Regions from separate parts of the Mus musculus genome. Here regions 1, 3 and 4 are each reported to be linked to region 2. Evidence: microRNA targets listed by miRTarBase, many of them from high-throughput screens and not tested one by one. Region 2 holds a microRNA gene; each other region holds the end of a gene's coding sequence.

Evidence for each region. Region 2 holds the annotated microRNA mmu-miR-1943-5p (AAGGGAGGAUCUGGGCACCUGGA, at 2,041-2,063, opposite strand). A microRNA usually pairs through its seed, bases 2 to 8, with sites in the 3' UTR of a target mRNA and lowers its output. Matches are read on the target gene's strand: a 7mer-m8 pairs with bases 2 to 8, a 7mer-A1 pairs with bases 2 to 7 and ends in A, and an 8mer does both.
Region 1: miRTarBase lists Ryr2 as a target of mmu-miR-1943-5p. Seed matches in the 3' UTR shown: 7mer-m8 at 5,670-5,676, 7mer-m8 at 5,666-5,672, 7mer-m8 at 5,662-5,668, 7mer-m8 at 5,658-5,664 and 7mer-m8 at 5,654-5,660.
Region 3: the mRNA of Prrx1 is a reported target of mmu-miR-1943-5p. Seed matches in the 3' UTR shown: 7mer-m8 at 2,853-2,859, 7mer-m8 at 2,857-2,863 and 7mer-m8 at 2,861-2,867.
Region 4: the mRNA of Cmtm3 is a reported target of mmu-miR-1943-5p. Seed matches in the 3' UTR shown: 7mer-m8 at 1,669-1,675.

Annotation. Positions count from the first base shown.
Region 1 is chr13:11,548,711-11,555,830 of GRCm38, forward strand. It overlaps Ryr2 (ryanodine receptor 2, cardiac), which reads right to left. Exons shown (of 105, transcript NM_023868.2): 104 at 6,721-6,772; 105 at 4,393-5,901. The coding sequence ends at 5,806. Among named protein-coding and RNA genes, the nearest start is that of Ryr2, 550 kb to the right of the region's middle.
Region 2 is chr15:79,373,231-79,380,350 of GRCm38, forward strand. Mir1943 (microRNA 1943) reads right to left here and starts at 2,070; the gene lies at 1,998-2,070. Tmem184b (transmembrane protein 184b) reads right to left here. Exons shown (of 9, transcript NM_172608.1): 2 at 5,234-5,483; 3 at 3,817-3,982. The coding sequence starts at 5,425. It overlaps Gm52190 (a long non-coding RNA gene), which reads left to right and starts at 5,466. Exons shown (of 2, transcript XR_003951550.1): 1 at 5,466-7,120.
Region 3 is chr1:163,242,418-163,249,537 of GRCm38, reverse strand. Prrx1 (paired related homeobox 1) reads left to right here. Exons shown (of 4, transcript NM_011127.2): 4 at 1,142-4,419. The coding sequence ends at 1,280. Among named protein-coding and RNA genes, the nearest start is that of Gm20471, 34 kb to the left of the region's middle.
Region 4 is chr8:104,345,956-104,353,075 of GRCm38, forward strand. Cmtm3 (CKLF-like MARVEL transmembrane domain containing 3) reads left to right here. Exons shown (of 5, transcript NM_024217.3): 5 at 777-1,717. The coding sequence ends at 811. It overlaps Cmtm4 (CKLF-like MARVEL transmembrane domain containing 4), which reads right to left. Exons shown (of 4, transcript NM_153582.5): 4 at 2,236-7,120. Among named protein-coding and RNA genes, the nearest start is that of Cmtm3, 8.9 kb to the left of the region's middle.

The DNA of each region.
Region 1 (7,120 bases), not on the chromosome of region 2:
GTCTGGTTGGTTGATATTGTTCTTCCTACAGGGTTCCGATCCCCTTCAGCTCCTTCAGTTCTTTCCCCAACTCTTCCATTGGGGTCCCCAGGCTCAGTCTGATGGTTGGCTGAGTATCTGCATCTGTCTTAGTCAGATGCTGGTGGAGCTTCTCAGACAAGTGTTGGGCTTTGGTGTCTGCAGATGGGATGGATCCCAAGGAGCAGAGACTGAAGGAAAGTCCATCCAGAGGATGTTTTCATTCTCTCTCTCATTCTCCTCTCCTCCTTAGCCTCTGCAGGCTCCTAGAAATATATCTCCCTTCCTGTTTTGTAGGACCCCAAGAAGGAGCCCCCCCACTCAAGTCACGGGACATGGGGTTACCCAAAGAAACACGAGGGACCTTCTTGTTGCAAAAGCATGAGGTAGCTTTAATGGCAGAGCTCCGGGTCAATACGTATCTCACGCAGGAGACAGAGGAATCGACCCTGAGACTCAAAAATTCGGGGTTTTTATAGGGTAGGGTTTAGGAGCTAGGAAGAATTGGTGCGGTTACATACGATTGCCCATTCAAACATCAGCAACATGATTATGAGTCAGCAGAGTAGTATGTACAGGCTGGGGCGTATAAGGATTCTAAAAGCTGGGGGCTTATCTGAGTCGACAATGCATCTGGTTAATGTTTCAGCTTTTAACTATGCTCTCTATAGATAGGGGGGGCGAGCAGGAGGCGCCGGGCTGCCAGAGGGTCAATGAGTCAGCCAAGATAGTCAGAACCAGTTCCTGCATTCCTTCCCTCATCTTTACGACCAGGTGACCTAGTTTCAAGACGGACTCGGGCATGCCGGGGCTTGTTTTCTTTGCAGTCTCAGTCCCAGGCCTTTTTAGTTTAAACCTTTTATTTTATTTAATTTCCTTTCAGTTTCAAGTAAGAAACTGATAATATACATGGACAATTCTGATTGATTATGAAACAAAATACTAAAATTTAATACTTTCAGAAAATTTATGGGCATCTGAGATTTTATCTCTGCAGCAGCAGTGACCCACATTTTTCTGTAAACTATCAAGATCATAAGTGAATAAGAATATGCCTAGTAAAACTTATGATTTTGTTGTTTTTTTTTTTTTTTTTTTTTGTCGGAGACAGGGTTTCTCTGTGTAGCCCTGGCAGTGCTGGGCAGTGGTGGCGCACGCCTTTAACCCCAGCACTTGGGAAGCAGAGGAAAATTTATGATTTTCATGTAAGCTTTTTTTTTTTTTTTTGCTTATTTTTAGGTGGTGCATAATTTTTAATATAAGCCATAATTGTAAAGGAAACTATTTTTTATTGTGTTACCTCATTGACTCTTGTATTTAATCTGGACATCTTATTTTGTAAGACATATAGTCTTACTTAATACATTTTTTTCATTTTTTGCATTCCAATGTTTCTACCAATTATATTCTTTTTGTGTCTTATTACATTAGCAACGTACACCTATCACGGCTTGTGGAATAGGCAAGTTAAAACGTTTAGTAGTAAATAAAGCTCAGTTTAATTTCCAGGCTTTGAAATACAGAACATAGCAGAGGGGAAGTGATTCTCCCTTCCTGACATGAGCAAGGAAGCCAAGTATTAGTTTACTCTTTGCTATCAAACACCTCTGTGATTTGATCTTAACAAATTATTTGACCTTATGAAATCTTCTTAGTAACGTGGTCCAAAAGTTTTGAGAAAATATGAACTAAAACTGTTGAGGTTTGGTCTGTTGCTATGTTCTAGACCTACACGTGAATTCTCACATTTACCAGCTAATTTTGTGCAACCTTGTTCCTTAATTTAAAACTATTGGTTAAATAAAAATGTATATGGCCAGTTACTAGAGGGATTTGAGGTAGGTGGATTTTGAGTTACCTGCTTGGGGGTGGAGAAGAAGGGAGAAGAGAATGAGGAGGAGAGAGTAGAGGTACTATGAGAGGAGAGGTGGTACCATGAACACGTGGCCAGGAGAAACGGCAAGTATTTGGGGGTACACTGCAGGTGAGGTAGCTAAGCCAGCAGTTAGAAAAATAGATTAGGAGTGAGCACCCTAGTAATTGTCAAAGCCAAAGAAAATAACCATAGTCTGAGTCTCATTCATTTTTAAGCTAGTTGAGGATAAATTTAAATTGGTTCTACTATAAGAATCATGCTAATTATGATAAATGGTATAACCCCAACAGTAAAATAACTGATGGATAGTTTTGAAAACTAAATTTTCACTACAGAAATGGGCTCAACACCAAAGCAAACTGTCCAACGGGCATCCCTTATAGCACAGGGTTAGAATAGACTTTGTCTCTTCGTTCATAAAGAGTGTGTTCAACTGTACATACTGAAGCTGGTTATTCTGAATGCCCTGGGGGTTCCCTTGTCAGAAAAGCCAGAGTGGCAGAGTGAGCGTCAGTGGACATCACTGGTATTTACTTAAACATTTCCTAACTCTGCTTCCCCATGGAAGTCTATAAGGTCAGAAGGGGCCTGTGGTGGTTCACACTGGCCTGGTTGATAGAGGATAACAGGCTAATTACAGAGCTACATTTGGGCCTTTGATGCGATGGCTCTGTTTAGGAACTGGTTGTGAATGAAAACAAGCTGTATCTTGTCCTTGGAAAAACTGCCAGGTGTGCATCTAAGGAGGGCTATCACATTTGGAAAGCTTTTGCTAAAACCATCCATCTGAATCCATTCTGTGAATCATAGAGAAAATTATTTTCAGAAAGAAAAAAATAGATGAGAATTAATGATTTCTGTATGTGTTGAAGCTTTGTAAGTACCCAGGGTGACCATGATAGTGTTCCTGATAATGTCTGAATGGGTGAGATAAAATATTTCTGAGAGGATGACTATCATGCTTTGAATTTAAATGGTCCTCCAAAGGCTTGAAACCTTGGTCCACAGCTGGTCCTGTAGTTTTGAGAGTCTGTGGGACCCTTTGAACATGGATCCAGCTGGCAGATGTAAAGCCATAGCAGTCAGAGTTGATTTTCCTGCTTCCCAACCAGCTGAACTATAAACAAACCAGATAACAGCGTCTACCACTATGGATCTATTGCCACCATGCCTTCTTATCCTGATAGACTGGACCCCTCAAGCCACACCAGAATAAATCCTTTCTTCCATTATTTGTTTCGTGTCCAGTACTCAATCATAGGGATGAGAAAAATACCTCACAGGATCACATCTCCTGAGTTCGCCTCAGGCAGCCTAGAGAATCAGAGAGGTAGAGTCACACTGTGTTTGAGATTCCCTGAATATTTCCTAGGCAAATAAATAATGCTGATAAGGTTGAATTCCTTTTGTCTCTTTTAGACAGTCTCCCCCATCACAGGCTGACCTTGAACTCACTTGTGTAGCGTAAGGCCAGCCCTGGGCTTCCACCATGGTGTTGAAATTACAGGCATTGCACCCCTATAGTGATTTTACCATCTTCTGTTGGATGGTCTCCCAGTGATGTCCTGCTGTGTTGGTCAATAGTGATTGGACAGGTATGACTTGCACAAATAGCCCACCTGTGTTTTTACTTTTCTTCCAACACTGATGTGTTTGCAACACCCATTGGCTAACAGAACCCTCATTTCACCAATTCCAATGTCTCTTTTCCTGATATTTCTATCACCTCTGAGGAGCTGTCAGTCAGTAAAGTGCACAGATCTTGACAAATCTATGACTTTATTTCCTTTTTTTCTTACCTTTACTATTGTTTTGTGTCTACCACAATGTGGGCATTATAAATAGAAGATCTGAATCTAACTTCCAAATTTGTCTCAAATAAGAATGGTACAGGGATTCATGTTCTTTGATGTGTTAGAGAGCTGACCAGATCTACTGGCTCAGACTCTTTATGACATAAGGTCCCATTTCTGAGAAGGCTTGGTAGCAATATCTACAGTGTGCCAAGATTTATCTCTTCCCTCAAATAAAAGTGACTCCAAAAGAGAAACACAAAAGCCAGGTTCTGGAGCTCTGGTGATGTGATAAGACATAATTGAACAGATGATAACTGATAGCCCTGATGATCTAGCATCATCTCTGTGTTTTATGAACTACTTATTTATGGTCTACTTCTCTTTCCTATTAAGATATTAAGTGGGTTGTAATTATTATGGAAAAGTTCACTTGCCTGAGCAAGGAAGAGTTCTTTAAAGTGAAAGTTGTATGAAAATTTTAAAAGTGGGAAGAGAGTTAGTTGTCATTGAATTACCCCATAAGATAGAAAAGGGTCAAGGTGCCTGGTGAACCCAGCTCTCCTGTTACAAATACTGCTATGTTTGTCTGACTGTGAAGTGTCTGGGTTTGTCCTATACACAATTAAACTGAATTAAAAGCATGGGATTCTATAATTTCCTGGTATATGTGAAATAGGAAGACATAGGAGAAGAACAAGGAAGTTAGTTAAATAGTTTAATTAGAGCCGTTTTACAATTCTAAAATTAACAAGCAGACTTGTAATAAAAGATCTCCAATGTTCGCAGAATGACCTCGCTTCCATTCTGAACCTGTCTTTTTTTAATTGTAAAGATTAGAATTACATTTAAAAGGACTCAAAATGATAAAAAGAAAAGAAAAAAGAAAAACATAAAATGAATCGATGTACATGGTCACCCATGTCTTATGATGCAACCAATGAAATCTCTGAATGGATATTGCTTCAGCTTGGATATCAAAAGATGGCCTGTCAAGGCGTCCTTAACCAATGACTGATCACAGGTGGCCAAAAGAAAGAGGAAAACCCAAGACTACTGTCACATTGGCGATGGTTCCAACTGTCGGTGGATGACACTGACTCCAGAAATATGAGGAAGCCCACAGCTTTGTTACTACGGATGTAATTATCACGAAAGTTCTCCCATGTGGATCAACTTGTTTCTGAGGGCTTTCTTTGTTCATTTAAACTTGCATAATAAACATGCAATGAATTATTTCTTTTGAAAGTTGTATTTTTGCAGTCTCTTTTTTCATACAAAGATTTCATAAGTTGCCATGTAGCATCAGAGTCTTTACCAAAGTGGGGAGGGTAAATGTGACGTAGCTGGATGACAAGAGCCTCCTTCTGTCCTGAGACACACCACCCTTCTTTTGAAAATAGCGCAGATAGCTTTTCTTACCCTCCTCCACCAAAGAAAAGAATAAAAGGGGAGAAAAAAGAAAGAAACCAAAATCACAAAACCATTTTATCTAAGAAAACAAGGTTGATGTAAAGAAAATAAAGGTGTTTGTCATGCACATTATCTTCTGCATAGCTCAACCCACTTATAGTAAGGCACTATTTCCCTTTGCATGGCAACCTGTTAAGTGCTACAGTGCTCTATGACCCTCAGACACTTCCTTCTGGGATGGCAAAATAAAGAGCCTGGGTGAGTGTGACTGCCGTGCTTGGCTGCACAGGTCTGGCAGCTTGTGGAGACTCCATGACCCTTCAGGGGAAGCTGTCCATGGGTGTTATGGTAGAGTATCCATGATGAATTCCTTTCCAGAGTTCCTGGTTAGTCTGAATGCTTATTTGGATTGTTCTTCGGTCTTTGTTTCTCAATGAAGATACATGAGGTGGGGGGAGAACAGTCAGGTCCTCTGAGACTGAGCATCCGTGCATCAGCACAAGATGCTGGTTAGTGGAAAATATGAGTAGGTGTTTCCAAGGTGGGGGGGGAGAGGGAGGGAGGGAGGGAGGGAGGGGGAGAGAGAGAGAGAGAGAGAGAGAGAGAGAGAGAGAGAGAGAGAGAGAGAGGAGAGACTGAGATAGAGAGAGAGAGAGATTGAGAGAGAGATTGCTTTTGGTTTTCAGAGACAATCAAGGTATGATGCTAATTTAACTGGTCTTCATACTGTTTCCGGAAACAGTCCCCTGCTGGGAAAAATTCCCAACACCTCTCTTGGTACATCTTCCAGACGTAAGATTCCTGTAAAAAAGAGAAAATAAGTGTGTTAACCCAGTGTCCAAAATCTATTAGATAACACAGGACAGAGTAGAAGAAGTCATTCAACCCCATTGATATATCATTAAAACAAGAAAAGTCCCATTGCATTCAGATAGCCCCACTTAAATTACCATCACTAATAAATGATCTTCAAATAAACAGAATGTCTTTAGCTTGACCAATATATGATAACAACATATTTTTAAGTCTCTAAGGTTTACATTTATTATGATTTTTAATTTTATCCAAGTTCAAACTATTATCCATTTATAGTGAGTAACCCAGAAGGGGAATTTCAAATTTTCCTAAAAAAACATAGACATTGAATGTTTTTTTCCCAATTATAATTTTGTAAGTGGAAGTTTATTTGAAAGTATAAGCCACACAATAGCCACAATCTTTAAAGAAGAAAAAAGATTGAATTCACAAGGAAACTTAGTATTTTTAGTTAAAAGCTTAGTTTTAAATGTGAAATTAGAATTTTGCTGTCTCTCTCCAGGTAGCATAATTAATATCTAAAAGCAATGTTTTTTCTTTTTCAAATCAAATATGTATGTCTGTGTAGTTATGCACTGGTGAGCACAGGGCTCATGGGGGCCAGAAAAGGAATTGGATCCCTGGAGCTGGTGTCACTGGTGGTTGTAAGCTACCCCGTGAGTGCTGGGAAACACCAAGTCACCTCTCGAGCCCCTGAAAGTAAATTCTTTCCCTTAGTGTTGAATATCTACATGTTGCTGTCTTATCTACACTCTTTTCCTACAGTTTCATCCTGATGATGGTGTATAACTGGCCTTCACCCACCTGTCCTGTGTGTTCTGTTTCATCCTTGTTTATGAGATACATCAGAAAAAACCTACAGACACAGAGAAAGTGGTCAGCAGTGGACGACATGAAAATACTAGCATAAGCAGAAAAGAGGCTGACATCTGTCTTAATTGCAATGGATTATGAAAATGGAGGAAACACCACAAATTCAATTTCTGAAAACTAATTACAATATACCAGAAAGAAATAAGCATGTTCTCTGAGATGGCCTGTCTAATTTCACACACAACTTTATATCAAAGTTATTTAAAAAAGAAACCACACACACTGAGTTTAATTATGTGGCTGGGGCTGGTTGGAACTATGGAAAGTTCCATCCACCTCTGCCTCCTCATTCCTGGGATTACAAGCACACTGCCTGCCTTGTGGAGATTAA
Region 2 (7,120 bases):
GGGCTACACAGTGAGACCTCTCTCAACAACAAGAATCTGAACTCTGAAGTGGGGTGCGCTCCCCTCCTTCACCAGGCCCGGCATAAGTCAAATCCTGGCTGCAAAGACCCAGGCAGGCAGGTGCCTGGCGCTTTGTCACCATTGGGTCCTCCTGGGCAGCCCCGTTTTCACACTGCGTAATGGCTGTGCGATGCACACTCGCCCTGGTCCTGGGGGAGGGAAGAACGTGCTAATGATAAGGGAGAACCTGGGGTAAGCTGTGAACGCCACACAAACTCTTGTAACAAAATATGTGGTAGGGAGCAGAGGACGCTGCATCTCCAACTCTGGCCCCCCAGTCTCTCAGGCTCTTAGCTCATCCCAAGCCCATCAGACACCAAACCCGCGGCGATCAGCTCACACCCCAGCCCCGTGGTCTATCCCAGCTCGGTGTGAACCACAGCCCTCATCAGATGGGTGCTGTATGGAGCCAGGGCATCCTAGGACAGGCACCCAGTATCTCTGAAACTCAGTCCTTGCCAGGTTGCTAACTAAACAATAAAATTTAAACAATTAAATAATTGTTTAACCTTAAAGAAAAATATCAAAGACACAAACAAGGAAAGGTCTCAGGCCCTGAGTCGGGGGTTCACGCCCACAAGGCCTCCCCCGGCACAGTGACCACTACTCTATCTTTAGTAAGGTTTTGGAACTTTGAGGTTGAAAGCAAGATCTTAAAAGCCTAAAAAAATATGCAAGCAGCTAGGCAGGGTCAGAATCCAGCTGACTCCCTAAAGGCAGCAGTAGGAGCAGTGAGAAGAAGCCTGCAGGACCCAGAGAACAATTTCCACCCTTGAGGTGTAGTCCCTTCCGAAAGATGTCAATCACAGAGCCATCCACTAAAGACACTTCAGGCTTCCTTACCAGCATCCCATGGGCAGCTTTCTCAGGAGCCTGGTAGAAGATGAGCCCCAACTAACAGAGAGAACAAACCACAAATGAAGGAGAAACAGGGACAGGTGACCCACACAGCACAGGGGAAGCCAACACAGGTCTAAGAATGATTGTGACTGGCAACCTGGGTGACAGCAGAGGTGGCCTTGAAAGCTGGCAGTGCTGAGTGCAGAGAGCCTGGTCAAAGCAAAGCCAGTGCTAACAGATTCACACAGGGCCGCCATTCGGAAAGCGGGACTGGTTATTTAAAACTCGGTTGTAGTGGTCAGGGATAAGTGAGGGATAAGCACAGAAAACCGAGCAAACCCCAAATTAAGACAAGTAGCAAAGCCCAGGTTTCTACACAGAAAGGACAGAGGGCTGCAAGCACCGCCCTCAGGAGTGGAGGCAGGAGTGCACGCACTGCATAAGGGGCTGCATAAGGACCTGCCCCAAACCAAAGGAAATGAAAGGAAAAGAGGAGGGGGCAGGGAGCGCAGTGCAAGGCTCAGCTCTGGGCAGCATTTAAACGCACATTCTAAACGCACACCTAGAGAAAACTGTAGTCTAGTTCCCCAGCATGGTGAGGATAAGAGACGTGTTTGTATGTGTGCCTGTGCGTGCATGTGTGTGTGCTTTTTTAGGTATGTTACAAGAGATCTAAGGGGAAATACAGAAGGGATAGGTGAGAGTGAGGGTCAGGTGCTGTGCTCTGTTTGTAAATGTCCTGGGAGATGACAGGCCAGAGACAACAGCGTTGCTAGGAGATGGATGGCAGACTTCCTGAGCTGGTGGTGGAGCTGGTTGGGGCAGGTGGGAGGAACAAAGGGGCTTCAGAAGTGCTGCTACTCTGGGGTGTTGTTGAGTGAGGACCGCCTGGTAGCTCCCCTCCTGTGTCCCCATGTACTACAGGTCCTATCTTCAGGGCCCTTAGACTACACAGGACACACAGACACCAACACACACACACACACACACACACACACACACACACACACACACACACAAACACAGACAAGGACACATATGCAGCAAGAAACAACTTTCTGTTTCTAAAAGAACCAGGGGAGCAGATGCTGGTCCTGGTGACTGGGAAGGGAGGAGCTGGCACCTGCAGGGAGGAGCTGGTCCAGGTGCCCAGATCCTCCCTTCCCAGCCAGAGGCTCCCCAGGGGTTTTCTGCTTTCAGGAATATCAAGCACAGTGGAACACCTGCCTCCCCATATTCTCTCCTGGAAGGAACCTTTTTGAGCACTGGCCAGGAGGACGGTACTGGGGAGTCAACTGCAGCCCCACAGAAGGGTTGGGCAGGGCCCCTCATTCCTCCAACACACACACACACACACACACACACACACACACACACACACACGGACTAGATTGGGGATGTATTTTTGTGCCTGCTTAGCCTCTAGAAAGTCCTGGGTTCCATGTCCAGCACCACATAAAACCAAGTATGGTAACATATACCTTTAATCCCAACACTTGGGAGGCAGAGGCAGGAGGATATCTGTGTTCGAGGTCAACCTGGTCTACAGAACAAGTTTCAGGACAGCCAGGGAGGGCTACACAGAGAAACCATGTTTCAGGGGCACGGGAGTTTGAGGCTAGGGCTGGAGAGATGGCTAAGCAGCTAAGAGCATGGGCTGATCTTCCAGAGCATCATCCTGGCTTTCAGTTCACAGAGCCTTCTTCTGGCCTCCTCAGGCACTACATACACACGGTGCCCAGACATACATACACACCAGCAAACATTCATACACATAAAAGGTAGACAGAGAGTCAAAGAATATAGGTCACACTGGGCAGTGGTGGCTCACGCCTTTAATCCCAGCACTTGGGAGGCAGAGGCAGGCAGATTTCTGAGTTCAAGGCCAGCCTGGTCTACAGAGTGAGTTCCAGGACAGCCAGGGCTATACAGAGGAACTCTGTCGTGAAAAACAAAAACAAAAACAAAAAAACAAAGGCTATAAGGTTACACCTCAATCCCAGAACTAAAGAGGTAGACATAGGCCGATCTCTATGAGCTCCAGGTCAGTCAGAGATATAGCATGAGACACTGATACCTGCTCCCTGCTCTCCCCACTAACCAAAAAGTCTGAGGCCAGCCCAGGCTACATGAGATCTTCTCTCAAAGGGGGAGGGGATAGTGCTGTCACGTGCCTGGCTCTGTTCCCACGGAGTGAAGCCTCCTCTCAGGGCTGTATCCACTGAAGGAACAGACAGTGCAGGGACAAGGATATGACATTGGTGAAGAGACAAGATGAGGGTCAGTCCCACTCGGGGCTGGAAAATCAGACCACGCCAGCTCCTAACACCGAGGAACTACCTACTGCTGAGCTGGGGTGGAGGCTGATGTGTCTCCTAAAGAGGTTGTGGTAGGGGACACAGAAATAAGGGGGAATGTGTCAGAAGGCGCTAAGGAGGGGGTGCCAGTCCTTTCCTTTGAGGCGTAACAGAGCATCACAGGGGGACACATGGGCTTGCAGGCCAGCTGTGTAAATCCTCCCCCAATACCCATGGTTCCTATCCATAGATGGATCATTTAGAAGTTGCCAACCAGGCTAGAGAAGCCAGAGATGAGAAATAAACGAATCAGAGGTAGAGCTCCTGCCTCGAGGCATCTGTGAAGGCGTCTTGGGATCCCCCAAACCAAACCATGTCTGTAAGCAGAGACTTGGGTTACATGTGGATGGTTACCCGTCCATTAGCGACAGATGGACAGCCAGGTGGGGAAGAGGGATCCAGATCTATCCTTGTGAGGTTGGTCCAGAGGCTCCTGAGAGACTGAGGAATGACGTGCCAGCCTCAGGTCCTAGAGATGAACGAGGGATGTGCACCCCCCTGGCCCCAAGGCCCCCACTCCCCAACCTTCCTCCCAAGCCCCGCTCCAAGGTGTGCTCACCCTCATAGCAGTCTCGGACGGTGCCGAAGTACACGTAGTACTGGTCATTGGTGAAGAAGAGGAGGCTGAGCCAGGAGTCGAAGGCGTAGATGGGCACGATGAAGAGGATGCGCACGATGTGGCGCTGCTCATTGGGACGGCTGTAGCAGCGCAGATGCATGTAGATCTGAGGGAGGGCACTAAGTCAGCCAAGTCCCACTACTACCACAGCTGCCTCCCACCTGCCTGTCTGCCCTCTTCCTCCTGCCTGCTCCATGGGAAGAGGATGGCTCCTGACATCTGTCTCTACCCTTCCTTGCTCTATGGGCTGATGCAAGTTACCCACCCTGAGCCTCAATCCTGCTCTGGAAAACTAGATGACAAACCTTCCATCGTGAGAGTCCAATCAAAGTGACCACATAAAGCCGGTGTGACACTATCTACAGGCCACCTTCAGCTACAGGGGACAGTAGGGCCACAGTGTTGTTGAAGTTGCGGTCCTCAATGTGTGCTCCTGTCATTCTGCCTCCCCAAAGCCAAGTTCCCAAGGTCTCACAGCAGCAGCAGCACTGAGTTAGCTGAAGGGCTGATCAAGGGCGAGTTGAAGCCACCTGGCTGTGGCCACTCTGCCTTGTCCCTTCACAGATGCTAGAGAGGGTGGGGTACTCGAGAGCCTCCCTCTGGAGGACCTGGACACACTTCCAGGCTGTGTGGCCATAGTGGTGTGCTCACACTATGCCCAATCCGCTGAACTAAGGCAGCACTGACTGCAATATCCCCAGGGAGGCAGGAGAAGGCAGTGCAACTCTGGGGAAGCAGAGCTAAGGGCGCAGCCCGACTCTCATGACATCACTCTTGGCCCAGCCCAGGCCAGCCCTGACTAAGGAAAAGGACAAAACATTTCCATCCGCTGTGAGCCAATTTCCTTGGCCACTAATGGATCTGAAAGAGACTGAGATGCACGGCAGCTGGTGAGGGGCTGCCAGGGGCCTGAGCAGACTCATCCAACCCTCTACATGGGAATCCAGCAAGCTCCTCCTTGGGCACCCAACCTCCCCTGAGGGCGAAAGGACAGGAAACAGGAGACCTGACTTCTCTTCCTGAGCTGCCACCAGCTCCTCAGCCACCTCCCTCAGGCTCCCAATAATGTCTAACTGCAACCGTTCCGTGGCTTCGGCTGCATATGTGCGTGGCCAGCAGATTCTGAGCAGGTCGTAGCAGACAAGCATCTGTGTGTCTCCTCACAATCCCGATGCTCCAGTTGCTACTGGACTGGAGGTGAATCCAAAGCCACCACCTGCTTGCAGGGGAGCTGGGGTGCGGGAGAGAACCCCAGGAAGCAGGGCTTACGCTCCTTGCCTGGCCGGCCTGAAGCATCCTTTGTGGAACTAGAAACCACTTGGGACACTAAGGATGTTCCCCCATCACACCAAGGTACCTGGTGGCAAGTGATGAGCAGAGCTGTCCACACAAAGAAGCCGGAGATGGCCTGGGCGGCAGTGGTCATCAGGAACACAGGGTGCTCCATGGCTGTGGGGCTGCCCTCGGGGGTGGCAGAGACGCTAGGTGAAGCTGTTGTGGTTGTGGGTGACGCTGGGTCTGGGGCCAGCGCGGCCCCCCTCACTGTCATGGTTCCCAGCAGCAGCAGGCTCCCTGAGAGGATCTCGTGCCGTGAGTGACGGGCTGGCCTAGGGAAGAAACGGGAATAAGCGAGCGAGCGGTGGTGTGCTGTGAACAACCCTTCCAGGTCTGCATCATGGGCCTAGCCATGCCCCTGCTCAGCCCTTGCCCTGGCATCTCTGGGCCAATACACAATGGCCTGTGATGTTCTGAGACCTTTGTCACCTCAATCTTCCATAGTAAGTTAGGAGGCCAGAACATGGCTGGGAAGCAGGGTACAGAAGAGTGCTGACCTACAACTGCTAACAACAGCTTGACCACTGCTACCCTGCCAGTCCCTAAGTACTGTTGCCACAAGCTGGAGTCCTCACGTGGCACACGGAACTGTCCCATGGGCCTCTTTTCACTCTCCTATTTTTTTTTCTTTCAAGATTTATTTATTTATTATATGTAAGTACACTGTAGCTGCCCTCAGACACTCCAGAAGAGGGCGTCAGATCTCATAACGGAGCATGCATGTGGTTGCTGGGATTTGAACTTGGGACCTTCGGAACAGCAGTCAGTGCTCTCAACCACTGAGCCATCTCGCCAGCCCCTTGTCACCCTCCTTTAGAGGCTATGTATAGCCTAGGCAGGCCTTGAGTTCAAATCCTCAGTGAGTGAGGATAAAAGGCCTGTGCTGCGCTGATGTGACAGAATGGCTTTTCTTGTGGTTGCTGCTGTTTGGTTTTTGTTCTTCTGAGACAGGCTTTCTCTGTGTAGCCCTGGCTGTCCTAGAACTCACTCTTTAGACCAGGCTGGCCTTGAACTCTCAGAAATCCGCCTGCCTCTGCCTCCCAAGTGCTGGGATTAAAGGTGTGCTCCACCACTGTCAGGCTTGGCAAAGCTGTTTTATTGCTATGGGAATCTACCTGAAGGGCCTGGCTTTTGAGATTTCTCTCAGACTTCCATAATGGCTAACAGTCACTCAATCCTTCGGGTCCCAGCTGTGCTATCTGGGACATAAAGTTATGGCTTATCTTCAAATTTCAAACTATAAAACCTAGGACTTCACACATGCCAGGAAAGTACTCTATCTCTGCCCCCGCCCCACCCCCACCTCAGAGAAATCATCTTCTAACTCAATGTAGGAATCCACTTTCCCAAAACCCTGCCCAGACACTTCCCCAACCGGATACTCCAGGCCATTTCACATGCCCTAGCTATTCTCTAAGGAACACAGGGTCTGCGTTCGGTCCACGGGTCTCTCTTCCTGCCTGCTCAGAGGCAGTAAGTCCCCTATTCTCATCTTTGAATCTCCAGCACCAAGTCCAGCAGCCAAGCGATCTCTAATGCTCAGCCTCATTACCAGCTTTCGATCTGCATCTCCAGAGATGGTGAGTGAGGTGGGCCACACAAGAGCATGGCAGAACTGAGGAACGTCAAGGGACTTTCCGGTGGGAAAGCGAAACCAAGGGAAGATGGCATCTCTGAGGAAACAAAGCCTTTCTATGTCTAGACAGAGCTAGGGTCCCATCTGAAATGGAGACGTCATCCTCACGCAGCCCAGAGGAGAGCTGCTGACAGGTACCCACCACATGTCTGAAAATTGGGGCAAGGCTGGGCCAGAGACTAGAGCTACTTTCCAAGAACAAAGCTTTCCAGGAGCATCAGAATGCTCTTAAGGAGTGTGGTGCCCCAGATTGACAGCCACAGTGACAGCATT
Region 3 (7,120 bases), not on the chromosome of region 2:
GGTTTCCTTCTTTCTGATCTTGTCATCTGATCCCAGAACTACAAACTCCAGTGTCACTGACAAAATCCCATTGGAATGCAGGCACCAGAACTGAATATGTCATTCCATTTATAAGCCCTATCCCAGCTCTCTGTTGGAAGAAATTTTACTAATCTTAGAAACAGCTAGAATCATTCTATTTATTTCAAAGTTTCCTTTTAACTATTTCACATAAGGTAAAAGATTATTTGCATCCACATTTACACACCATTTTTTCCATTAAAAGAGATTCATGTATGGAACGAATAGAACCCCAGTAATAATGAATTCTTGCCTATGTCCTAGTTATAGTTTCTGACAATCATCTAGCTTCTTGTTTCTCCAAACAACACAAATAGTGAGGAACAGTTACATCTGAGATCAAGAATGGTAAAACTATAACTTGGGAAGTTTATTTTGAAATTTTAATATTTCCAAAATGACTGTCCCCAAAGGTAATGTGTGCTAGTCAAATACCTTTGAAAAGTTATTAAAAACAAAACCCACTGATAGGAAAGCCTTGACTTGACAATGCTTGTTACAATCATCCAATGAATCACAATGCCAGAGGAATATGATGGGTTGTTTAATAATTCTATAAGCACATATAACCATTTCTATAATCTATAATCATTTTCTATAGTATTATTGATTATCCAAAATACATTGGAGTCCAGGTCAATTTCCTAGAATGAAGAAGCAAAATTCTTTTTATCCACTGTCAAATGCTTGCCATTTTCCTTCGATGGTTTCACAGGTTATCTGGTATAGGTAGGAAAGATTAGACTCTGAACTAGCTGATGAAACTCCTGCTATTTGACATGAGCAGTCTCCTCTTACCCCTGAAATAAATCATTACTCACTGTATCCAACACAGCAAAAACCTTTCCCTACCCTGTCTCATTCTTGTCTGCTTCCCCATGCCCTGTAAAAAGATGGACACCCTTTTCCAAGGACCTTAAACTAATTGAAAACTGGAGCTGTAAGAGACCCCGAAGGTCCTCTCTTTACCCCACTGCCCTGCCTGCCTCTGTCCTGAGAGTATATCCATCCAGGGCATGGTCTTACAGCTTCATGAAACTAATGTCTGTTATTCTCCCTGCTCTCTCCTTTGTCCCTACAGCGCCATGGCTACTTATTCTGCCACATGTGCCAACAATAGCCCTGCACAGGGTATCAACATGGCCAACAGCATTGCCAACCTGAGACTGAAGGCCAAGGAATATAGTTTACAGAGGAACCAGGTGCCAACAGTCAACTGAGGAAAAAAAAATAATTAAACAGGCCTAAGAAGAAATCAAAAACCATAAGACACCTATCCTGTTCTGTCATATCTTCATCCGCCGGGGAAAAAAAAATAAAAGCAAACAAACAAAGCCAGAACTAAAATATTGGGACCATGGCGGAGCAAAGCAGGAGAGGAACAAAATGAAAATTAGTTAACAAATGTTTCTTCTTGCTCTCGGATACCTACCATCACCATTTGCTTTTGTGTGTGTATTTTGTTTTCCTTCTATCCATGCTTAGCTAATTATACTCCAGGCTTCTTCTGTTAGGCTCAGCCCACCCATTCCTATAATTGTATGAGAATAAAAGAAATCTCCAGCAGCCAAAGAAATATATATATGAGAAAGATCACTTCTCGGTAACCTGCTTGACTTCAGTGCCTTACTCTGTCTCCTTCCAAGTCTCTCTAGGAGATTTTTGAAAATCCAAAGTCTTTCTGAAGAATCTGTATTATTGTGTCCATGTTGGTCATGGTAAGGTTTTTCTATCAGTGACAGGAAAAAAATAAATGTACGCATGTTCTGGTCACTGACCAGTCTGATCAATGTGGTTGGTCATGTCTGGTGTACTCTAAGCTCTAAGCTCTAGGTTATGATGTCACCGTTAACCCTACCCCTTACCCAACCCAAACAATAAAAGATCCTAAGTTAAAGATACTCATCGTTTTTAAACAATTGTTTCACTTGTTCTTTGGTAGAAGAAATCCTTTCAGTTTTAGAGATGGAAAAAAATTTTGTAGGAAGAAAAATACTGAGTTGTGAAAGGCATAGTCTATATTTCTTTGGTGCCTTAGAGGTGGTCAGATGCACACTTTTATATATACATATATATGCTGTATATATTTATATATATTATATATAAAATATTGAAAGCTTGAGTTTGCAGTTTCTCAAAAACTATAAAAGCAAACTCTCTGCCATCACCACTGCCCTTATTTACACAATAATTATATGTTAATGCGGCATCTTGTTTTCATAGTCTATATAAAATCCTCATTAAGGTCAGAGAGCAATTAGCCAGGCAGCTGTTTGAGAACAGCTTCCATTTTTATGTTAGGGCTTTAATAAAATTAGGAATTATTTGATGCTATAGAGTTGACCTTGAGTTTGGACTCTGATCTTGAGTGTAAAGTCTATATCATCTGACTTATCATGAGAAATACAGTTGGAAGGGTGAGGGAAGACAGCACTCTTTCTCTACTTCATAGGAATATGAAAGACAATATGTTGAAGTGAAGTGTTTAAAGCCTTGCTTAAATTTTAAAAATTAAATACAATCATACTCTTACATTTTAGTTGTTTTGAAATGAGGTTTAGCATCGAGGGTGGGAGGCAGAGCTGGTATTTCTTTGTTTCTCTTTGTTCCCAGCTTTGCTTTGGCAATTTTCCTGGTGAACTTGACCAAACCACGTTGCCATGCTGTGTCTAGTTTACCTGTTTATAAAATGGTTTAACAATTCCTACCTCACAGGGATGTTGTGAGGCTACATCCATTTGTTTTCTCTCTCTCTCTCTCTCTCTCTCTCTCTCTCTCTCTCTCTCCTCTTCCCTCCCTCCCTCCCTTTCCTTCCTTCCTTCCTTCCTTCCTTCCTTCCTTCCTTCCTTCCTTGTTCCTGGTTTGTCCAGCACTTTGTAGCCGTGAAAGGAGAAGGGACATTAAGAGCATACAATATTCATGGATTAACACGGTATTTGAAAGCTTTGTTTTCTAGTAAGGAAATGGTATCTGACTGTACATAAATATAACCTTCTATTTGGAAATGATAAATAGGTTTATATTTTCAAATATCTCAACAATAACATCATTTGACCAAAGAATAATTTAAGGCACAAAGTATAGAGATATTTTTTAACTTATATTTTCATCAACAGCTCGATTTTATTAACCATAGTTCTCAGTGAATGAAAATCTTCAGAGTGATTTTGGCCAAATATGTCAACATTGCAATATGCGTGTCAGTCAAAGTATTTGGCGTATAAGATTCACTTTTAGCACATACTTGTTCTTCCCTTGGCATATCTGGCTGTGTTAATGGTGATTTTTTTTCCCCAGTCTAACAGGCACCCATCTGAAAATATATTTCAAGTGATTTTGTACTTTGTTCAGTAATAAGAAGGAAGATCATCTTGTGTACTTTGATCTCATGAAGTGATTCCTTCTCAACAACTACTATTAAAGCATTTCTTTCAGAATAGTTTATGTGGTCTGGCTTAATATACATTACTTGTTTTTATCTCCACTCATGTATTTGTCCCATCGATTGCTGCGTGTTATCACATTTCAAAAAAACCAGTACATCCTTATTGTAAAAATGTTTTTTGATTTGTAAGTGAGTACAGGTCCAAGAGACTGGTAAACCGGGAATTTAGCGTTTGTAGAGAATAGCTTAAATATTTGGATTATAGGCAAGGAAGAGAAATTATAAATGAAAAGTGTTTTCTAAGGAGAGCAGAATCTTGGAAGGCAGTTGTTGGAAGTCATCTGAAACCTTCATCCTGGCATCCATTTCCAGTGGACGTCAAACAAACCTGATCCCATAAACTCAAAGGAGGAAGTGGGATGTTGTGTCTGATGCTTCGTACAAGCAGCTTCGCGGAATTTCACAGAATAACCCCTGCTAGTTAATCATAGGAATGTCTGCAGCTGGTAGACCCACAGCACAGCAGCTTTATCTGAGCACGTACCAGGAAATACACCTGAAGCACTGACGCTCAATTTTGTTCATTTGTGGTAAACTTTGTGAAAGAATATAAGTTTAACAAGTGGTTTGGAGGGTTAGATATCTAGCTTGTAAGTCAATTACCAGAGGAGAGTCTCAGTGTCAGACTCAAGGCATATAGCTACTGCGCTCCATCAATATACCCAGATGAAGGCATTAGAACTATCAATGTCCACACTCCCTTACCAAAGAAGAGGCCAATTAGTTCAGCACGTGGGAGGTTAAATTAAACCAGAAGTAATGACCTAATTACAAAAAAGGGAATGGCATATGGTAATAAAGATCTCATAAGAAATGTAATATGTAAATTATATCTTGCTTTATGATGTAAAATATACATTGTTTGTGCTAGAATAGAAATGATTTCTTTTCAATAAAATGAAAGAGTGATAATACAATGTCTTTTGTTATAATACACTGGACTCAGATGATTATTTTCGCTTTCAACTTCCCAAAAGGCAGAACTGCTTAGATTCAAGAAGACACTGAGAAACATGACAGTAAGAATGATTTATAAGCAAAATAATTTCCTATCAGAGTGTCATCCCCAACCCTTGGTTTTAATGACATAAAAATTAAGTATTTTAAGCAATCATTGTGCACGGCATGGGTGGGTGACAATAAAGAGATTAGAAAAGCCACATTGTGAGAAACAAGTTTTTCTATAAAAGGAAAACAATCTATTTTAATTCTGAAGCAAAAATAGTGGGAGGAAGAAGGAATATCTGTATTTATAATGTGAAGATCAGGATAGAACTTCTGGTAAAAATGTAGCAATTTTACCAATACTTTTAGCATCTACAGTACTAGTTACAGTATGACAAATTGTCTGTATATAAGACACAACCTTTTGTTTTAATGACATCTAAATGAGGCATTTTTAAGCAATCATTGTATGCAGCGTGAGTGGGTTACAAAAGAGAATAGAAAAAAAAACATAAGAAACAAATTGTTTTCATACCAATTAAAATCTAGTCAAAAAGGCAACTTGAACACAAACAAGTTCATGCAACAATCCAAGAAAATCAGTTAATAGTCATCAAACAAATAGAGTAGATAGAATAATTCCAGAAGAGGAGGGAGGGGGAGGAGGAGGGGGGAGGGGGAGGAGGAGGAGGAGGAGGAAGAGGAGGAGGAGGAGGAGGAAGAGGAGGAAGAGAAGGAAAGGAAGGCAGGAAGAAAGAAAAAGAGAGAAAGAGAGAGAAAGTAAGAGAGAAAGAAAGAAAAGAAAGAAAGAAAGAAAAGAGAAAGAAAGGAAGGAAGATAAAAAGAAAGAGAGAGAGAAAGGAAGGAAGGAAGGAAGGAAGGAAGGAAGGAAGGAAGGAAGGAAGGGAGGAAGGGAGGAAGGGAGGAAGGGAGGAAGGGAAAGGAAAGAGAGAAAGAGAGAAAGAAGGAAGGAAGGAAGGAAGGAAGGAAGAGACAGACACATAGGCAGACTAGGTTAAGAGGATTTTGGTTTGAAGTAGTGTGGGAGGAGAGAGTAAGAAGAGGGGCAGCAGCAGAGAAACAGAGGATGGAGTGAGGCAAGGATGCAGACAGTAGGATTCACGGGAAGATGAGCCTGGGTGGGATGGAGAATTTGTTTGGAAACTAAGTAGAAAAAAGACAAAAGACATGAACTTTTCTTCAGGCCATAGGGACCCATAGAAGGGATTTTAAGTAGAAGGCAGGACACTTTTTGTAAAGGGGCAAATATATCAGAGAGTAGTGCAAACACTGGGAGGTAGAGGTGCCCTAGGAGGATTTAAAACCAAATGGCATCTAGGGAGAGTCCTCCAAAGAAAGAATCAATAGGGCTCCCTAGCATGAAGAGAGGGGCCCTGAAGACAACACTTACTGAATCCTGGTGACTCAGAGAACAAATCATCGACCAAACTCATCAAAGTCACACACACACACACACACACACACACACACACACACACAGAGAGAGAGAGAGAGAGAGAGAGAGAGAGAAGCTGAGGTTCAGTCAAAGGGAAAGAAGGCTGCAGTCTTTGTTATATGGTTGAACCCACCACTCCAAATGGAAGCTCCCAGTGAGTGAAGACACAAAAGTAGGACTGAATATTGAGGTCAGGGACACAGTGAATAGTTTAAAATGACAATTTGGCATACAAATATGAATGCTTTTTTTCAAGATGGGAAACTGCCCTGTAGTCAATAATTAATTTTAATAACTGACTTTTGGAAGTAGTTTCAACATGGGGATAAATATTGTGCTTTGAAGAATTGCTACAGTGGGAAAGAGGTCTCTGGAATTCTGATTCTAAGAATCTGTTTCAGAAGGATGGAAACTGGTTATTATCTGAGAGTTAAGACGAGGTGCGTTTTAATCCTTGTCCATTAGGAAAACACATGAAAATTACAGAGGCACCACCTTCTCTCAGTGACAAGAAAAAACAAAAACAAAAACAAAAAAAAAAAAAAACAAAACGAGTGACAATTGCTGAGGAGAATCCTTTGTGGGGAGGGTGAAATTCAATATAGAGGCTCTGCAGAAAACTCAAAAGAGAACTTCCATATAAACTGCAGTAAACATATAATTTTTTTTTCCATTTTTTATTAGGTATTTAACTCATTTACATTTCCAATGCTATACCAAAAGTCCCCCATATCCACCCACCCCCACTCCCCTGCCCACCCACTCCCCCTTTTTGGCCCTGGTATTCCCCTGTACTGGGGCATATAAAGTTTGCAAGTCCAATGGGCCTCTCTTTCCAGTGATGGCCGACTAGGCCATCTTTTGATATATATGCAGCTAGAGTCAAGAGCTCCGGGGTACTGGTTAGCTCATAATGTTGTTCCACCTATAGGGTTGCAGATCCCTTTAGCTCCTTGGCTACTTTCTCTAGCTCCTCCATTGGGAGCCCTATGATCCATCCATTAGCTGACTGTGAGCATCCACTTCTGTGTTTGCTGGGCCCCGGCATAGTCTCACAAGAGACAGCTACATCTGCGTCCTTTCAATAAAATCTTGCTAGTGTATGCAATGGTGTCAGCGTTTGGATGCTGATTATGGGGTGGATCCCTGGCTATGGCAGTCTCTACATGGTCCATCCTTTCATCTCAGCTCCAAACTCCGTCTCTGTAACTCCT
Region 4 (7,120 bases), not on the chromosome of region 2:
GAGTCCCAGACACTGTCTCAGTGCTAAAAAATGAATACCATCCCAGACTCATTTCTGGTCTGTTAGTTAAATGCTCCTGGATGCTGTCTGCCTTCAAGCCTTTGTAGCAAATGTTGGTCAGCCAGCTCAGAGACCAGAGCATAAATGTCCATGAACATACATTTTGAATATTGTATGGTTTTAATGTAAAATAGTTGTTTTGCAATAGAAGGATCCTTGGCCTATATGTTAAATATGAATATAGCAAGCCTATCCTACTTGTACCTCCCTGGCTAATGGATAAGGGGGGAAGAACCAGGGCTCGGCAAGGGACAGGACAAGTATCAGAAAACAGCCATAGCACTGGGGACAGGCATTAGAGTGCAGTGCTTTGCCTCGTGAGGCAGACAATGCCAGAATCATCCTTATACATAGCCAAACCCATAAAATAGCTTCGCTTGCCCTATGGTTCTGTGTATTTCAGTTCAGGGATAAGAATTACTGTCTTTGCCTTGTCCTCCTGAATAAGAGTGGAGAAAGGGGTGTCAGTGTACAACTCTGCCATCCTCAGGGGAGAGGGGATGCCTGGGAATGCCTGGGCCACCTGGGAAGGAAGCATCTGTGCTGTGAGCTAAGTAGAAGGGCCTGATCTACCCTATGTGTGCCCCAAGGCCCAGCCTGCCACTAGGATGGGAGAGGCCGGACCCAGGTCTCCTGTTGGCTGGCTGGCTGCTGGTACCACCACCACTACTCCACAGCCCAAGGACTGATAACCGCACCCTCTGCTTTCCTTTCAGAAGAGAACTCCAACTCGGACTCAGACTCTGACTAAAGGCCTGTCTGAGCTTAACAACTAGAGCCACTCGGCCCTCTCACCCACGCTGTCCTGACGGGGCTCCTGGAGCATGGCAGGAATGCCCATGGGAGAACAGACCGAGGAGCCCGTCTCTCAAGATTACACTCCCGAGGCCTCACATTCAAAATTGGCTGTGCTGGCTTGGCACTGCTGAGCTAGCGTGGTAGGGCACGTTGACAAGCCTTCCTTCTCCCCTTTCTGTCCTTGAGCCCCTTTAACCTCACTGCCCCCACCGAAGCACACATCAAACGGAGCCAATCACTACAGCCAATCATGTGGCAGCATGGGGGTGGGGTGGGACTTTCTGTTACTAACAGGGACAGATAAAACCACAGCAGGCTGGACCACCAGCCCCAAACCTGCACTGCATTGAGATGACTTTCAGGAACCTTTTATTCAAGAAGTTTCCCTCCTCACTGTGAAATAGGGAGAAACCTAGCTAGCCAAGTCTTCCATTAGAGGTCTGAGGCCTTTTCAGAAACGGACCCAAAGATTTGTTTACTAGGGCCCAGAGACAGGGAGCCAACCAGTATAGTGGCAGTGACCAAGTCACAAGTGGCTGGGCAGGCCCAGCCAAGCACTCTCTTCCTGGGGACCCTAAAAGACAAAGTGCTTCCTCTGGACACCTGGGCAGGACCACTGGTGACATGGACTTCTCTGTAGTCCCTTGGGGGCGGTTACTGTGTGTGTCTTTGATGGTGTTTTCTAACTTTTTTATATTTTTTTAATACAAAAACAATGTAACAAATGGTCTTTTCTGTAACCTAAGAGGCCCCATGAATAAGGGCCCATGTCTTGGGCATTTGTAACCTTTTTATCTTGCATGTGAATTCCCTCCCTTTAAAAAAAAAAGTCACAATGGATTAAAACAAACTGACTACATGCTTGGAGTGCGCCTGACTAAGAACTCACCACTGCCTGCAGACACACTGTGTGCCCGTTTCCATACAAGCAAGCACAGGAGTGCTGACAGCTCTGAACTCAGTTGTGAGAAAGCACTTACTGTGCTGGGTATCAGGGTGGCGGGTGACACTGCTGGTGCCTTTACTCAACCCCACGGTCGAGGCACTAAAGGGTAAGCATACATTCTCATTAAGATGGCGTTCTGCAACAGCCACAACGTGGGGCTCCAGGGTTTAGAAACTAGTTGAGCAAGGGACCTCAGAGCAGTGGCTACGAGGACATTCTGGTCATTGTCACTGAACACGCACTGAAAACAGGCGGGCAGTCGGATGCGCAGAGGCAGAGGGGCTGTGCAGTGCCACACAGCCTAGCAGGCTGGTCCTTCCTTCTCCAGCCGCTTACAGCCTGCTGACTGTGCTCCAGCTCGACCCACAGGGCAAGCCTGCTGCAAAAGTGGGACCCAAAGCCTCTGGGAGAGAAAGAAAAGACTAAAGCGCTTTTGTTTGTTTGTTTTTTTAATATGTCCATTTATTAAACAAGAACTCCTTCTTGACAATACAGTATTCATTAGTGATTAGTATTGAGAAAAGTATTTCCCTCTACATACAAAAATACAGATTTGAACAATATGAAAACAATCAAGACAAGTACCATGAAAAATTGGTCCTTCAAAGGAAAGTGGAGAGGCTGAGGGCAGGGTGAGGCTTTGCCTGCTGTCTAGCAAATCAACGGGGCAAATGCCATCCATGGCTCCCACATCATTTGCAGTGCACAGGGTCCAGCCTGGGGGTCAGGGGAGGTCCATCCATGGCGACAATGTCAGATGGGCCCAGATGGGAAACTCAGTACTGCAAACAACACAAATTCAAGGTTCTTAAACGGCCCTCACCTTGGAATTCCCATGCCAAACAACTTTAGCTAGACATGGTGGTCCACTTCTGTGTGCTATCCCAGCATTTAGGAGGAAGAAACAGGGGGATTGCTATAAGTTAGAGGTCAGACAGGACTACCTAGCAAGACCCTGCCTCAAAGAAAACCAAACTCAAGAAACAAAATGTGGTAACTATTAACATTGTCTCCCAAGAGTGCCACTATTAAATGGAGTGGCAGTGGCCAGTCCTGGCAGAAAGCTGTCATTTGGCCACATAATAACTTGTGTTGTCACAGAATTACGTTTTGACTCTTCAAAGGACAAAAATCACAGAGCTACAAGTTCCTACCTCAGAGGAGCCGTACCTTTACTCAGCAATGGCTCAGTGAGTTTTTCCTGACCAGACAACTCCATGGTGCAGGGTCAGGAAAACAGAACGGTGGCTAGGTTATCCTGTGCCCTGGCTTTCCCTAGCCCTCCACAGCACAGGACCTACTGCACTCAGGCTACCCAGAAACCCACCAGCGGCAGCCACAGTGTCACCTAAATCCAAGTGGGGCAAATCCCAGAGCAAGTCTGGGGTGCTGCCAGGACACAGCGGCACTTAGCCTATCTATCCTAGGAGACAGGGCAGACAACAGCCGGGACTGACTGGCTAGGGTGGGAGGGCCAGGAGCCAAATGCAAGCGCTCACTAGACCCAGCAAGCAGGAAGGTGGCACATGGTTGAAACTTGTGAAAAATGAGACCACTTTCTTCTCACTGTTGGTGAGCAACAGTTCTTCCAGTCTAACAAACAGTCAAACAGTGTCAAACAGAATTACAAGAACGAGACTTTTTTCAGAACTATCCTCTGACTTACTTCTCAGACTAAACCAGCAGAAGTGCAGTGTGGGAAGAACACAGTGCAAGGGACAGGACTTGCCAGAGGGGGTCGTTTTGAAAAATACATAGGAAGTTTAAGAGGAAATGGCCCAAACGTCAGGACCGATACTGTGGAAAGCAATATTGAAAGGACACAATCATGCTACAAAAATAGTGTTATCTGTTAACTAAATGTACATCCCCGCCCCAATTCCATGATTGACAAGAGTGCTTATGTGACACATGGAAGGCACCAAAGGTGAAGTGGTTATCTGACAAAATATACAGAAAAAGAACTGCCTACTTAGAAAGAAAAAAAAGACAGACAGACAAATAAATAGCTTAGTGTTTCTCCATGGGTTCCTAATCTCCTACGAACGTCAGCATACACAGACAGCTTTGCTCCCTAGCGTTCTTCCACATGGAACCACATCAAAACCAAGTTATCAAAAAGCAATGATTTTAGGCAAATGGGTCAATTTCATTATTATTTGAATTAGTTTTTAAATAAGTTATATATGAATGAAAACAATTGTTTTTCATAAACAAGTTATGAAAGAGTTGGAACAGGTAGGCCTGGGTTACAATACGCCTTGCTCTTGCCCTCTCTGCCCCTTGACCTAGCCAATTCTTTAAGCCCTGAATCACTGTACCCTTCAGTGCCATGGAAAGGGGACAGGGTTCTGGAACTTGCTAAATCAGTTCTGAAAGAACTGAAGCAACGCCCGGTTAGTGGAGGAAGGCAGCGTCCGGCAGCATCGGGCAGGCCCGCCCTGCCCTGCCCTGGGCTGGGGTGACCATGAGTCGTCCGGCAGCATCGGGCAGGCCCGCCCTGCCCTGCCCTGGGCTGGGGTGACCACGAGTCTTCCTTCACTGACCTTTCTCCAGGCAGATTCCTTGGGTAGCTATTCTGACGAACAAGGAGGGGCCAGGTACTTCCTGCTGGGTACCAGATGCAATTATGAAAGAAAACAAACCTTTTACCCCTGAAGTGGCTTCAGACACGTTCTTACCATAATCACAGCCAAACAAGTTCTGCTAGCTCGCCACAGTCCAAGTGATACTAACCACTAACCAAAGGCTCACTTGACTTAGAGTATCAGAATAAAGAGGGAGATGAGGTAAACTAATGACACAATACACTGTTCAAGAACCTATGGTCTAAATTTGATTCTGTGAGATGGCTTTGAACTCAATGGGCTTGGGTCCCTCCACCCCTTTACTCTTAGGAGGAAACTAGAATGGAGTGGGGGGGGAGTCCCAAAGCCTAAGAACTTATATCCAATGCTATACTGACCAGCATGAAATCAAATAGAACATTATCTTTTGGAAGAAAATTCTAGATCTAACACTGATGCTATTGTCTTTCAGAGACGATGTCTACATAAACATTGATAGGTCAGACATTCCAAATTTTCTCAACCAGACAGAACTGGTTATTTTAAAGATGTCTGCTGAGAAGAGAGAAACAATAGGTTTTAAGGAGTCAGAAAAGCTAACGAAGCCCAGAAAAGGGGTCTGCTACGTCAGCATCACCTGAGGCAGCCTGTCACCTGCTCTAGTCCTTTCAGGAGCACGAAAGACCTCACTCTTCTGAAGAGGGGGAGGTTAAGGACACGCTTCCAGGTCAGCAGGGGTTATGAACATATCAAACGCTATCTATGCCAACCCACTGCTGCCGCTGGAGCCTCCCCCACCACCCCCAGGCCTCGGTCATGCAAATTTCATGTGTCCACCAAACTAGACTCTGTGCCTAGCTAGCCCTACTATGGGGCTGGTGCTGACAAAAGCAGACAGCAAGAGGCACCTCAGAGTCTGCAACTTTATGAGGAACTAAAAGGTACCCGGAAACCTCACACACTAGAAGCAGCTTTTTTTTTTTTCAGCTCATGAGGATCAGTCAACAATTCTCTACATAGAAAGTGTATGCGCCCCACCCCCCCAACCCCTGCTGTTACCTGTTTAATGTCACTATTGCTATGTAGAGGACATCTTCAGAAAAAGACAGTTCGGCAGGAGCACACTAAGCATGGGACTTTTGTGTGCTCTGAACACAGATGCTGTCATCACTGGCACCACCTCCATCACTACAAGGATGGACACAAGTCTCCACGCTCCTCCGACTGACCCACAGAGACTCTGACATGGGCGGGGACGAATCCTCAGGCCACCTCTTAGATAGGCAAGAGATCTCCTCCAAACAGTACATGCAAATCCACAAGGTCACAAACAAGGCTAGCCAAGACTCATTCACAGCAAGAATTCACATACATGCAGGGACAAGAGAGTTAGGCCTTCATTTCTTCTAAGACTGACTGAACCAATAGAAAAACTTCAAAGATAAAGGAAACTTGAAAGAAAAAGAAATGTTTTCAACTGAATCATGAAATTCTCTCCAGAAGCATCCAGCCAGGGTGGAGGACAAGGCATACCAGGTCTGCCCGTAAGTCTTCCTGCCAAGAGTCCTAGAAGGGCCCTAGGGTCCCTCTCAGTGAGAAGTTCTCAGAGAGTGCTCAGAGGGTAGTCCATCCTTGCTGGCTCTGCTATGCCCAGGCTCTGCCCACACTGCTGTTTTAGCATATTGCTAAGAAGGATGTAGGCAGCTTACTGCATTCTTGCTTTGTCTGTAGACAAAAGCAATCTGCATTACATGGCTATCTCCTTAAGCAGAACTTCTCTGAAAAGAATTCACTACCTCACTGTGTTTGCCCTTTCTAGGAGCCAATACATATCTTTAGGTTTTCTTGACTGCAGTCTTACCCTCTGAGCCTTTGGCAGGGAAGGTAGAGAAGACTGGTACCTGGCATTCAGTCGAGATCAACAGGGCCAAAATACACTTTCTCCGAAGACAAGTTAATATCCATCAAGACTACCAAGTGCCAGAGGGTGTCAACCCCATGTCTCCACGAACACACCACATGTCCCCAACAACTGCATGTCTTGCCATGTTTTCTCCACCCAAGAAAGTGAAGCCATCTCCTCAGGAAATGGAGACGGTGAAGGCTCACGTACAATGCTCCAAACCTAAGCAAGCGGCACTGGTCCACAGGGGGCTTAATAAACACAAAAATATGCCTTTTTCAATTCACAGGGTTGCTGTACAAACCTCAAATCTATTACCTTCTGTTTGCACAGAGGCACAACAGGAAAGATACAGGTGTCTCTGCTTTCACTTATAGACAGCCATATTGTCTTCATGGCTTGTGCTCACCACACTGGCTGTAAAGGTGAGGGGCCTGTTCATCACGCTATGAGAGCATGTACAAGCCACTTCTGGCTCTACGGGAGCTAGTTAAATAGTACAAGGAAATACATATACAAAAGCCACGGGAAAGCTTCATAGCACAAAGGATATTAAATAGTAACCAAGATATAAATATTACAATGATTCTGTCACTAAGATGCAAATTGCTCTCAAGTCTCTTAGGCCCTAAGACACCACCACATTATCATTTATTGGTATTCATGGTCTCAATGGGTCTCAGGATCATTTCTTTCAGCCGACAACACTTCCTCAGAAGGCCTCCTTTCATCACAGGATAAAACGGGTTTATTGAAGGGACTTGGGAAAGCGAGCAGAAACCCCATCTGAATGCTTCTTTCTTCCGCCTCACTTCAAAGGTGGCTTTTTCCTGAGGCCCAGTGACA